Arabidopsis thaliana: one gene and its partner. The protein of the gene in region 2 binds, or shares a complex with, the protein of the main gene of each other region. Each region holds a gene or a part of one and is shown on either strand. Other genes may lie near its edges. The genes, in order: CXIP1 and AT5G09830. A codon is read from its position in the direction of its gene.

What was found.
Region 1: the proteins of AT5G09830 (region 2) and CXIP1 are in contact, whole or in part, in an NMR structure (PDB 2MMA), measured with the Arabidopsis thaliana proteins. Residues at the interface, in NP_568217.1 of Arabidopsis thaliana: Arg46 (codon at 4,868), Leu47 (codon at 4,871), Leu48 (codon at 4,874), Arg50 (codon at 4,880), His51 (codon at 4,883), Arg52 (codon at 4,886), Asn55 (codon at 4,895), Met62 (codon at 4,916), Ile65 (codon at 4,925), His66 (codon at 4,928), Ala67 (codon at 4,931), Leu68 (codon at 4,934), Ser69 (codon at 4,937), Ile70 (codon at 4,940), Lys71 (codon at 4,943), Gln74 (codon at 4,952), Gln78 (codon at 4,964); in NP_191050.1 of Arabidopsis thaliana: Lys130 (codon at 4,013), Ser133 (codon at 4,022), Asn134 (codon at 4,025), Trp135 (codon at 4,028), Pro136 (codon at 4,031), Thr137 (codon at 4,034), Glu146 (codon at 4,061), Phe147 (codon at 4,064), Phe148 (codon at 4,067), Asp152 (codon at 4,079), Ile153 (codon at 4,082), Glu156 (codon at 4,091), Ala157 (codon at 4,094), Thr160 (codon at 4,103), Glu162 (codon at 4,109), Glu165 (codon at 4,118), Glu166 (codon at 4,121).

Annotation. Positions count from the first base shown.
Region 1 is NC_003074.8:20,338,523-20,345,996, reverse strand, and holds CXIP1 (CAX interacting protein 1), read left to right. Parts: upstream 1-3,532; 5' UTR 3,533-3,625; coding exon 3,626-4,147; 3' UTR 4,148-4,640; downstream 4,641-7,474. Other genes in the region: PMR6 (Pectin lyase-like superfamily protein), read right to left, coding at 1-467, 550-686; AT3G54910 (RNI-like superfamily protein), read left to right, coding at 1,720-2,433, 2,496-2,636, 2,764-3,030; LHCA1 (chlorophyll a-b binding protein 6), read left to right, coding at 5,075-5,265, 5,579-5,681, 5,769-6,057, 6,149-6,291. UniProt on the Arabidopsis thaliana protein: May only reduce GSH-thiol disulfides, but not protein disulfides. Probably involved in the regulation of the redox state of the BOLA proteins. May act as Fe-S cluster donors to Fe-S cluster-requiring proteins.
Region 2 is NC_003076.8:3,057,103-3,062,829, reverse strand, and holds AT5G09830 (BolA-like family protein), read left to right. Parts: upstream 1-4,004; 5' UTR 4,005-4,060; coding exon 4,061-4,120; intron 4,121-4,704; coding exon 4,705-4,727; intron 4,728-4,815; coding exon 4,816-5,014; 3' UTR 5,015-5,227; downstream 5,228-5,727. Other genes in the region: AT5G09840 (Putative endonuclease or glycosyl hydrolase), read right to left, coding at 860-1,748, 1,918-3,803; AT5G09820 (Plastid-lipid associated protein PAP / fibrillin family protein), read left to right, coding at 5,450-5,727. UniProt on the Arabidopsis thaliana protein: May act either alone or in interaction with glutaredoxin as a redox-regulated transcriptional regulator, or as a factor regulating Fe-S cluster biogenesis. The GRXS17-BOLA2 heterodimer binds a labile, oxygen sensitive iron-sulfur cluster.

The DNA of each region.
Region 1 (7,474 bases), on a different chromosome or scaffold from region 2:
AGATATGGAGGTTGTGGATGATGATGTGTTGAACGTATTGGAGAGTTAAGCAACCGTTTCCGGTAATGTGAACGGCTGAGCCACGACCATCTAAGGTTTTGTAGCTGTTGATGATGAGTTCTTGTTTTAGTCTGATGAGCATGTTTGAAGAGAAGACGATCCAGAGTGGCTCTTCTTGGATTACGCCGTAACGGAGTGTTCCTGGTGTTGGGTTTGTTGGGTTGTTGTCGGATGAGTCAGTTACGACGTAGATCTTGCCGTTTTTGCCTCCGAGTGTGCCGTGTCCGAAGCCGATTGAACAGTCTGCTAGTCTTTGTCGGTTTGTTGACCAGTCTGCGTCGCTGCATCTCCAGCAATCGTCGATTGGGTTTCCGGTACGGCAAGAGGATGATGATGAGGAGGATGATGATGATGAGGATGATGATGGTGAGCTTAGTTGTCTTCTTGCAAGAGATTCATTTACACTCCTGTGAATTTCGGAGAAGAAAGTTTGAGTTTTTATTTTATCTGGGAAAATGTGTAATGAGAGAGGGAGGAGCTTTTGTTTACCTGATGACATGGAGAGCGACGGAATCAGGGGAAGGGTGTTGGTGAGGGAGAGTGAGATTTAGGGGTTTAGTGGCGGAGAGGAGTGTGAAGAAGAGGCAGAGAAGGAAAATGGTGTTGGAGAAGTTTTGAAGAAGCATCGTTAGTGGCGGATTTTGACTTGGTGTTGCTAGATTTAGCTGTGGAAGTTGCAGTGTGTGTGTTGAGTGTCAGAAGAAGAATGTTGGTAGAGAAATGTGAAGAGAGAGTAGCAGAGAAGGATTTGAAATCCACATAAGGGAGAAGAGGAGGAGAAGAAGAAGAAGCTGCTTTCTCTCTCACACTCTCTCTCTCTCTGCTTCTCTGCCCTCTTGCTGGAAACAGGGCTAATAGGTTTTCTTGAGATTTTGATTCTGTTTCTCTTGGGGATTTGTGTCCACTTGCATTCTGGAGGAGATTGGTTTACTATTTGGGTCTCAAATTTTGGTAAGCAAGCTCGTATTTTATATTGGGCCTCTCATTTCTCGTCAAAGTCGTCGCTAAAGCAAGTTTGTAATTAAACACCCAAGTTAAATGGGCGTATAACATAAAAGTTAGGCCCATAACCAGGCCCATCGTTTATGGTAATTAAACACCTAAATTAAATGGACGCCGAACGCTTTGATGAGTGGGTCAGTGGCCAGTGTGAGTATCAACGGTGAGGACAACACTTTGTCGTTCCGATGCTCAGCGATTGTGGTATCTTCTGATAAACCAACTTGTTCATATTCCTTTTTCCTTGCTATGTACCATTCAAGCTTCGTTTACATTTACCCTTTCTTGATTCCTAGTTCAGACTACCATTCTACTAGATTTGAAAAGGATATACAGTTCTTTGGGCACTGAAAATTTCTCAGCTTCACCTAACAATCTAGCTTGTTTCTAAGGTTTAGTACTGTTCCTCTTTGTGTCCGAGTTTTCACTTGTTTACTAATTGGCTTCTTTAGCTTTATGAGCCTGAAAGATGTTATCTTCTTTCTTATTAGGGTCCCAAGTTCTGTCGACAGTAACAACAGTAACTTGGGGTTTCGGGTTTCAAGATATGGATAGATTCAGTGAGTTATCTGATGAAGTGCTTATTAAGATATTATTGTTTGTTCCAACAAAATTGCTGTATCCACTAGCATTTTGTCGAAAAGATGGGAGTATCTTTGGATGTGGTTGCCTAAACTTAAGTATGGTCATAGAGATTCTTCTGAATGCAAGAGGTTGGAGTGTTTTCTTGACAAAAATCTGCCATTACATAGAGCTCCGGTTATAGAAAGCTTCCGTCTTTACTTAATTGATTCAAAATGCACACCTGAGAATATCAAGATGTGGGTTGTTATAGCAGTTTCTCACTGCCTGCGTGAGCTGGAGGTTATTTATTCTTCATATCCGGAGAAGCCAAACATATTGCCGAGTAACTTGTATACCTGCAAATCGCTTGTGATCTTGGAACTCTGTGGCGAGATTCGCTTGGATGTTCCTCGAATGGCATTTCTTCCCTCTCTGAAAACTTTGCAACTTCACAGCGTGAGATACCTCAATGAAGACTCTCTTCATCGGCTTCTATCTAACTGCCCTGTTCTTGAAGATCTATTGGTGGATTTACTTTTGTCAGACAGCATGGAAAAGCTAACTGTTGTTGTCCCATCTTTGCAGATTTTATCACTCTTTATACCTCATTCTTATGAGATCGATGGGATTGTGATAGAAACTCCTTCTTTAAAGTATTTTAAACTTATAGACCATAACAGTAAGAGTCACTACTGTTTGGTTAAGAATATGCCTAACCTGATAGAGGCAGATATAGATGTTGAATTACATAGCATCAAGAGTCTTATTGGATCAATCACATCTGTCAAGCGTCTTTCAATATGTTCACAGGTATCATTTTCTCAACTCATTGTTTAGATATGCATTTGCTGATAATTTTTAATATTGCGCAGGCTATGTATGATGGAGGTTTTGTCTTCAACCAGCTTAAACATCTGAAGCTATGTAGATGCAAAGGGCATTCGTCGGATTTACTTGTCCGACTGCTCAAAGATTCTTCTAACTTACAAGCACTAGACCTTTCCGAAATGGATGTAAGTTTGTTCGTCAAACTCTTTTTTCTTGTCTGATGCACATTATGGTTTTAGTGTAATTCTTCTTCTGTTTGATCTGTAATTCTTCTTCTGTTTGATCTGTAATTCTTCTTCTGTTTGATCTCAGTATCATGAGAATCATGATATCCTTTACTGGCATCAACCAAGTACTGTCCCTGAATGTATGTTGTTGAGTCTCCAAACTCTCAACTTGTCGGCATATAGAGGAACACCAGAAGAGAGAGATCTTGCAGTGTATTTCTTGAAGAACGCTGTTCACTTGAAGACCACAACAATCAAGTCATGTGTTTTTGATGATGAAAGATTTGACATGTTAAAGGAGTTGGCACTTTCTTCTAGAGCTTCAACAACATGCCAACTCGTGTTTGATTGAGAGTATTTGATCACCAAAACAAAGCTTGTTCTTCAGTTCTTCCATGTCCCCGGGCTCGTATGGTTTGTCTTCAACCTGAAAATTTGTTTTCGTCAACCATCTTTTTCTATGTTTTCCGTTTTTTTTGTATGTGATAAAAACTTTATTCTATATGTTGTCCACCAAAAAACAAATTATGTTGATTGGAGAAGTTATATGATAAGTTTTAATCGTTTATGGGGTTTTATAGGTGTGTAGAGATATATACATACCTTGTGAATGAAGAAAAGAGAACTAGCTCTGTGTTGAAAAACTGAAAAGCATTTGATGCCCTGATAATTTCTCTAAAATTATTAAACCGAAATACTAATACGATCCAAGTGGAACCAACCAATTTCTTAATATCTAAAATACCGGAATCTAAAGAGTCGAACCAAACCGAACCGGAATGTCCTCTAATTTTTATTTTTAAACCCATGATTATGACATGCACTACCGGCTTAGTGGTGATGTTTGGCAACATGGTTTATTCAATTCTCACTCGCACTGAGTGTCTGTGGCTCATAAATCATTTACCTTTTCAATTTCTCAATTCCAAATCTAAAAGTCGTCAAAAATGGCTCTCCGATCTGTCAAAACGCCGACCTTGATAACTTCGGTCGCCGTCGTCTCCTCCTCCGTTACCAACAAGCCTCACTCTATCAGATTCTCTCTTAAACCAACGTCGGCACTCGTCGTCCATAACCATCAGCTATCGTTCTACGGTTCGAATCTCAAGCTGAAACCAACTAAATTCCGATGCTCAGCGTCGGCTCTTACGCCGCAACTTAAAGACACGCTGGAGAAACTGGTGAATTCGGAGAAAGTGGTTCTGTTTATGAAAGGAACGAGAGACTTCCCGATGTGTGGATTCTCCAACACTGTGGTTCAGATTTTGAAGAATCTGAATGTTCCTTTCGAAGATGTGAATATTCTGGAGAATGAGATGTTGAGGCAAGGACTTAAAGAGTATTCGAATTGGCCGACGTTTCCTCAGCTTTATATCGGCGGTGAGTTTTTCGGTGGTTGTGATATTACTCTTGAGGCGTTTAAGACTGGAGAATTGCAGGAAGAGGTGGAGAAAGCTATGTGCTCTTGATCCTGATTTCAATACTTGGTTTTTGTGATGATGGAATTTGATCTTATCTATCTATCTATCACCTGGGAAAAAAAATGTGATTTTGATGTTTCAGAGTTTGTGGTTGTAACATTAAGAGACATATATTGTATGATGGATTTAGGTATACAACAGTTGGAGTTGCTTGGAATTTGAGTTTCCTTTGTCATATGTGTTGGCCTGCAAATTTGTGTTGTTTGTTGAAAGGTTTATGTGTGAAGTAGTGCTAGTAGAATCTAAGTTTGTTTCTGACTAAGAGACATGAAGTCATGGGTTGTTATGCTCATTCATATCCTGATTGAGATACAATTTAAAGAAACTTAGTTCCAAAGATTCTGAACATTCACCGGTACAGTGTGTCTGCAAATGGTATTCTGTCTCACTTCAATGTCTAAACACGTTGTCTCAAAATGTATCGTTTGTTAGATACTCCTTTCAAGACATATGATTTAGCCTCGCATGTGTTCGTTGATCCAAGTTTTACCGGTTTGATAAGTCTCCAGTCTTAGCAATAAATCCAGACCGGATTCATGACCAATCGCAGATTTACCGGTCCGGGTCAAGTTTTAAAACATTAGTAGAAATGTGTTTCACCGAACAGGAAGACTTATCTGATAGCATCTCGTTGCAGTGGATAAATGGCAAAATAGTAATATACGTAGATTCTGCTTTTATCTGAACCACATAGTGCAGATGGATATCGAACAGAAGAACATGATATCGAGAAGACACGTGGCCCAATGAAAAAGCCACGCAGGCTCTGTATAGCCAATTGCAATCTGGTTTTAGATTCTCATCTCACAAATCTTACTTATACGATCAGTCTCCCACATTCACACTTCCACCAAACACCTCTCGTCCACATCTTTCTCCTTTGGTGGCAAACACAACGACAGATAGAGAGAAACGATGGCGTCGAACTCGCTTATGAGCTGTGGCATAGCCGCCGTGTACCCTTCGCTTCTCTCTTCTTCCAAGTCTAAATTCGTATCCGCCGGAGTTCCACTCCCAAACGCCGGGAATGTTGGTCGTATCAGAATGGCTGCTCACTGGATGCCTGGCGAGCCACGACCAGCTTACCTTGACGGTTCTGCTCCTGGGTACGCTTCGAACCCTTTTACTCTGTTTTGTTGCTCAGTTTGGAATCAGAATTGTTTGTTAGATTACTCTGTTTTGATGACATGATGCAACATTGTACGTTTTGTGAAAGATTCAATTTTTTTTATGTTATTGGGTATTCATATTTCAGAAAGTTGTCTCCTTTCAGAATTTGAATTCCCTTTAGTTGTGTATTCAGAGATTCTAGATAGATTACTGGAACCTCTTTTGATGACTTAAGGGTTCTGATTTCAACATTGGAGGTTGTTTAGAAAGTTTCAGTTTTTCTAAGTTATTGGGTACAACATTGTGCAGTGACTTTGGGTTTGACCCACTTGGACTTGGAGAAGTTCCAGCGAACCTTGAGAGATACAAAGAGTCAGAGCTCATCCACTGTAGATGGGCTATGCTCGCTGTTGTAAGTTTCAATATCCAATCTTTGTCTTATCATAAGGGTTTAGTCTTGTTAAGTTTAATCTAATGGACTTGGTGGGTGGTGTTGTAGCCTGGGATTTTGGTACCAGAAGCATTAGGATATGGAAACTGGGTTAAGGCTCAGGAATGGGCAGCACTACCAGGGGGTCAAGCCACTTACTTGGGAAACCCAGTCCCGTGGGGTACTTTGCCCACAATCTTGGCCATTGAGTTCTTAGCCATTGCATTTGTTGAGCACCAGAGAAGTATGGAGAAAGACCCTGAGAAGAAGAAGTACCCGGGAGGCGCATTTGACCCTCTTGGATACTCGAAGGACCCCAAGAAGCTCGAGGAATTGAAAGTTAAAGAGATCAAGAACGGTAAGCACACACAACAACTTACCTTTCTTGATCAAACTTATGTACAAATGTATATCTAATGTTGGTGTTTTTTGCTTGGTGGGTGTAACAGGGCGGCTTGCGCTGTTGGCGTTTGTAGGATTCTGTGTGCAACAGTCGGCTTACCCGGGGACAGGACCATTGGAGAACTTGGCAACTCACTTGGCGGATCCATGGCACAACAACATTGGCGATATTGTTATCCCTTTCAACTAATGAATGTAAAAATAGAAATATGTGTACCTTATGAGCTTTATGTGTATCAAAAACACTGTGTAATGAAAGACAGATTTGTGAATTCCTGTAATTTGTCTTGGTGATCGAATGCTCGTGTGAGCTTGAATTCTAAGTGATGAACCTTTTGAACCCAAATACACATTACATCTCATGCTTCCTACAGAAGAAACATTGTAAGCTCATGACTATTTGTTAGATTTCTCAACAATCACATTCACATACTATAAACTCCATAACAGAAGAAACATTGTTAGCTCATGATTATTTGTTAGAGTTCTCAACTCTATCCAAATATGCTTTTTGTTTATATCAACTTAGATAAATGGTTATTGAACCACACCAAGATACATGCATTTTACATTTGAGTTTTGATGAATATTTTCTATTCATCTTTTTTCCCCCTCATTTTTACCTTCTACATTTTTTCATATTGAACAAAAACAATCCTGTTAATTTTCTTCCCTCTCTTTTCTAGTAAAATCATTTAAGGATTTTTTTTGAAATTAGTTGATGTCTTTCTTATCACATTTGTTCTATACTTCTACTAATTTTTCTTTTGTTCTTTTGCATACTAATCTTCACCTACAAAATAGAGTACTCTCTAAACAGAGTCTTGGAAAGTTTTGTCTTCCTTTTATATTCTCAACTATAAAGTTTAAATGAGACATAGTTCTAGAAAATAACATCTTTGACATTCAATGGTTCCCTTAATTATATATTGAGCTAGAATTTGAAGAAAAATCAATACCACATTAATGTTTACAGATTTTAATTCATATATGGCTTAGTATTCTATTATTATATGATTTTCTCAATTTAATTCATTAAAATCAAGTAATCAGAATTTCAAATAATTTATTTTATATTTCAAAAAACTTAAAGAAAACTTTAGATTTGACATGTGACAAAATTTTCACCATTCTCTTCCAATATAATAAAGAATGGAGCTATCTTCCTAATCATATCCACGTAAGATTGAGATAGAAACTTGAGCTGCGTGGGGCATGCTTAATTTTTTCTGTCTCATTGACCCAAAGATATATCTGTATTCTAGTGGATACATACATTATTTACTCATTACCAACTACAAGTAAACTCCTTTAATTAATTTTTAAATTCTATATTTGGCTCATAAATTATTCCTTTTTAAAATTTATTTTTA
Region 2 (5,727 bases):
CCGAATCATTGTGGATACGCATGAGCTGTTTTGTTTAATTATTGTATTAAAATATGTATACATAGCCTTTAATGGTAATTAATATTGGTATATTTTAAGGGAACAAGACAAGATTAGGCTTAAATAATAAGATCAATTTTCTTTTCTTTATCCATTTCTTAAGTACTTTTATTGGTGTGTGTTTTTAATCGAGTGTCCATTGAGAAGACTCAAGTGACAAAGATGATTCACCAAGCAACTCCACATGTATGTCACAACATTTCATTAAATACTTTTCTCTTACTCCTATTTAATAATTACTCCTTAGATACATCTTTCTGACAACAATTATAAACTTTTTTAGAATTACTAAAATGAAACTACTGGCACAAATTGAAACCCCCGAAATTTTCATTTTTTATTTATAAAAAAAACTGTATAAACATTATGGTCAACAATAAATTATATACCAAATCTAGTTTTGGTTTGTTAACTATTTAATACCTAACTTATAACCAAAAAGCATGTCATTATCACTTTTAAACTCTTCATTTAATCTAATCGAATAAAATGTTTAAATAACTCCATCTTTTATGGAGTACATTTTATTTTTCTATTTCTATTCATTCATTCCGTGCTTTACACATCAACGTTGAAATTAAGAACCAAAATTTAATTTAAAAAATCACGTAATACAGTAAAACCTATCAATAAATGCATACGATGCGACTTGCCACTGAAAAGAGTTTGAACCATATTAATCTTATTTCTCCTTAACCGGATTCGGTTTACCATAGACCAAACCCAAAACCGGCTTCAACTAATTACACTCAATTCCTCGGGAGATTGTTAATTAAACAGTAAACAACCCTCTGACTCACTAGACTTCTGAATCTTTCACAAAAGAATACGTCTTTGTAGGCTTTTGCTTTCTACCGTTGCTTACAAGCTTCCTCTCCACCGGATTCTCCTTCAATTCTCCATCTTTATTTGTGTAATAAGAATCCAGAATTTGCAATAACGAGCTCTCTTTACCTTCTTTACTCATCATCTGTTGCTTCTTCTTCTCTGGGTTATCTCTCTCTGAACCAGAATCTTCTTCATCCTCTGAGAGTGATGGTTCATATACTGGAAGCTTTTTGGTCGTCGGGTGGGTAGTTGTTGTATCAGAAACTGGACCAAGTTCTGCGAATGCCAAGTCCGAATCATCTTCTTTTGACTTGGCATTTGGTGAAGGAGTTGAAGGAAAGATGTATCCAGATGCTATTCTCACTCCATGCATGACTCGAATCAGAGACTGCAGGTTGTCGTAACCGAGCTTGTCAACCGCTAAATGGTACCCATACTCCTCTAAGAAGTCTTTCCTGAAACGAATCAGGCTATACCCTTCAGGGTGTTCCTCTGTTATCTTCTTTATCATCTTCTGACAATCCGCTATTGCATTACTTTTGTATCTTTCCAGCTCTTTCCGGTCCACAGAACCAACAGAAACTCCAGCATGAGCAACGTTCTTGCCGCTTTTCTCACCATTTTGTTTCTGCCACTGTGATTTTGAAGAATCCGAGAAGATTGAGCTCAAACCGTTTGAAGCATGACGGTGGCCAGGGCTAGATCCTTTGATGATTCTGAATGGTAAAGAAGAAGATGGGGTTTCTTCAATCCATTTCTTTTCTGATATTAGCAAAGTAACTAAATGAAGCATGCTTGATTCATCGAGCAGTCTGAGACACGAAGGCCCTTCCTCCTGCACATTTTTAGCCATCACCTCCCTGACCAGGTTAAGACGGAACAGCATTAGCTGAATACTCGTCCCAAAAAAGACAACAAATGGCTAATGCAAGAACCAATTGTAATAGTTCTGAACCTAAGATAGATTTACATATTAATCAATATCTAATCAAAGTCCTGCCAAATCAGGAGGGAAGAGAATGTACGCACCTTGTCCTCGAGTGAGATACTATAGCAAAGCCTCTTGGAGAATTAATGAAAGATTCAATATCACTCCAAAAATACTCTTTTGCAAATATGTCTTGTACTTGAGAATCAACATTGACAAGCTCCTGATTCCCACTAGAGTCTTTGCTAGACTTTGTATTCTTTCCCCAGAACTTGAAACTCTTCAAAAGGCGACCTAAAAAGCCTGGACTTGCATCTTTATCTTTACTGTCTACGTCATCAGCTCCAACTTTTACCTCATCGACCGACTCAGCAACGAAAGAAGGTGAGATTTGAGACATGGGCACAGTTCCCTGACTCGATGACTTTAAGTCCTTATCCTCTTTATGTTTGTTTCCACTTCCCTGACTTGATGACTTTAAGTCATTATCCTCTCTATGTGTGTCTCCACTTCCAGAAACGCTCTTCATTTCTGGGAGATGCTCTAATTCCATCTCAGGTGAACCATACCACAGTCTTTTTAGCTTTTGAAAAAAGCCATCTTCCATGGACGAATCACTCCACGCAACAAGAGCGACTTGATTCGTCTCGACGGGTTTAACATTTGCCTTAACATCCTTCTGGCCGACCAGAATTGGGTCTTGAGAACTCTCTGATGATTCTTCTTTAACAATTTTATCACTCTCCAATACCTTTTCCTGCTTCTTTCCAAGTAAGCCATCTCTTCTTCTTTCAGCAGCAAGCTCTACATCGCTAATTAGCTTTGGTGATGGAGCATTAACAGTTTCCTTATCTTTAATCTTCTGATCAACAGCAGTAGACAAACGAGGACTAGAATCAAGCCGCATCGGAGGCTTCTTTTCGGTAACAGCCCGAATCATAAACAAGCCTTCACTTACTGTAGTAACCTGTAAGATATCTGGCATGGATAAAAGAAACTTCGAAAACTTCTTATGTCCATAGAAATCTTTATCAATAGCCAAGTTGCTCTTACTCAGCTCAGCACGTAGTTCTGTAATGGCAGCCCCCTTGGGATATAAACTCACTATCGAACGAATCTTATCAACAACTTCTTTTGGAATAGGACGAAGGTTAACAACAGCATTCGAATTCACAGACTCGGATAGTTCTTCGATTTTCACACTAGACGAAGATTGCTCAGTAGTGGTAGCAATAGCAAATGGATCAAGAAGAGGAATCCTATAGTGACCATACCAAGAGTTATAAGGACCATCAGGAGGCTGATTAAAATGCTTACCAGTAACACACTCTCCTTTAATCAAAGCATCCCAATCCCACATAATAGAAGCAGCACTACACAAAACACCAGGAGCTGATGATTTACTCGCAAGCAAAATGTTGTAATTGTTCATCCTCAATCTATGTAACACACTTGCAAACTCCTTATCACTAGAGATTAGCAAAAGATGAGCTGGTGGTGGATTCTGAGAAACCCAACACATAAGATCTGTGATTAGAGATCTATCAGCACTGTTCTTACCACCGTTAGGAACATGAGTGAGACTGATTCCTGTAGCGGAGAGAGCGTCTTGGTTTGATCTGGGGAGCTGTAAAACGTCACCGAAGGCTGTGATTGTGATTGGTCCTTTGATTCCGCTGTTTCTGATAGCGGCGGTGATTGATTGTGCTACTTTGTAGACATTGGTGTCTACAGGTAAGTTACAGCTCAGGAAGTCCCACCAGACCGAAACCCTAACGGATCGGGACTCTTCGTCTTGCTGAGGACGTCGAGAGGGAGAATGGCTGGATCCGGAGACGAAATTGGAGCCGGAGGTGGTTGTGGTGGAGAATGGAGAGGAATGAATGTTAGTGATGAAAAGGGTAATTGTTCGACGGTGAGATTGGGTTGTGGAGGAAGAAGAGAGGCGGAAGAGAAGGGATTTGGATGGTAAAGATCCAAACTTCATGGTCGGAGAGCTATTTTTGCTCCGGGAAATGGAGAGACTGAGAGGGTTTTAGGAGTGAGGAAGACGAAGTAAAGGAAAGCAGAGCTTAAACCCTAGTTATTATTTTGGAATTGTCGATAACCGAATGGTATCCCAATTGAACCAAACTAAACCGTACTCTCGCTAAACCAAAACCAAATAGCGTATGGTTTAATATTCTAATTCAATGAGTACAGTAATTAGGGATTTCAATTTTTGTTTGAGAGAGAGAGAGAGAGATGGTGACGAAGGAGCAAGTCGAAGCTTCATTGACTTCGAAACTTAAGCCAATTCATCTCGTGAGTGTTCTTATACTGCTTTCTTCTTTCAATTTCATCTATTGATTAGGGTTTGAAACTTTTGTGGGAAACTTTGAAACCCTAATCATCAAATTGATCTGGGAAAATTGCCAAATTTGAGATTTTTGACCTGCTCACTTTGATCAAAATCATACACTTTGATAGTTGGATCATAAGAGGTACTATGTATTGTAATAATCTCAGCATCTAGATTATACATCACTATGTGTTGTCTTTCAGCTCTGAAACAGAATATAAAAGGTGGTTGTTTGCGTAGTTAGGTGTAATTTGATGCAGTGTGATACTGAGCTCAGGATTTGATGACGTAGTGTTCCTGATGTATTAGCAACTTAGTAGTGAGTGTTCTTGTCGGAAAATTTTATTTGTGTCATGGTTTTTTGTGAACTAGAACTCAAAAAGCAGATCCAAGGATGTGTATAGTTTCTTTGCTTTATAACATGTGAAGATTGAAGTTACTTCAATGTCAATCTATTTCCCTTTTCACTTGATTCATGTGTTCCAATTGTTTCAATCTTTAGCTTTTAGAATTTTTTAGTGACATTGTTTGTTTTTGTGTGTACCAGGAAGTCATTGACATATCTGGAGGGTAAGTACCGGATTGTCAATACACATTTGATTCTCTGGCTTATGGCATAATTTCTTGTTCTTAATATCAGCAAAACTGTTTATTGCAGTTGTGGTTCGAGTTTTGAAGTGGAGGTTGTCTCTGAACAATTCGAAGGGAAGAGATTGCTGGAGAGGCATCGTATGGTGAATGCTGCGCTAGAAGAAGAAATGAAAGAGATTCATGCTCTCTCTATTAAGAAAGCTCAGACTCCACAACAATGGAAGCCACCATCACAAGACTCTGCAACCTTAACCAAAGATGCCTGAATTTCTGTTTTTTAAAAGCCTTGTGACAAAGAACAGAGCATTTACTATGTTGATACTTTGTGGTTACTGTACTCCGATTACTGCTTTTGATGAAGTGTAAACACTTTTTTAAAACATATGCAATTGGTTGCAAAATATAACAAAAATTGGGTTTTTCTCAATTTAGATGGAGATTTTTTTGAGAATTTTACCATGACACCATCTTAAAAAAGAAAAAAAAGACCAATGGGATTGGCTAAATTTTATAATAGAGTCAGTGCAGTGTATGGTGGGGGGGAGAGATAGATGCTAAAAGATGGATAAAATAACCAAAAAAAACTGTCCATTCTCCTCCCCATAAATCTATCTCTCTCTCTTTTTCCTCAAATCCCATCTTCTTCTTCTACTTCTTATTAAGCTCCATTGGGTTTAGAGATTCTGGTGTATAAACTGCTAATGACGAGTAACCTTTTCCAGCCACCATCAATGGCAGCTTCACGAGGAGCAATCTCGAGAAGAACAGGAAACGTGAAAGTATTAGTCTCTTTCACCAGTTCTAATGGCAAAACGCTGAGTTTTAGTGACAACTCATTTAGGCTCAGACCCATGTTCATCGGGAAAGTCACAGAACAGAGTTCTTGTTCCTCCCCAAATGAACAACAACAAGATGAAGAACAAGAACAAGAACAAGAAGAGATTACAGTTTCTCATATAAAAGAAGAGCTCTACGAAGC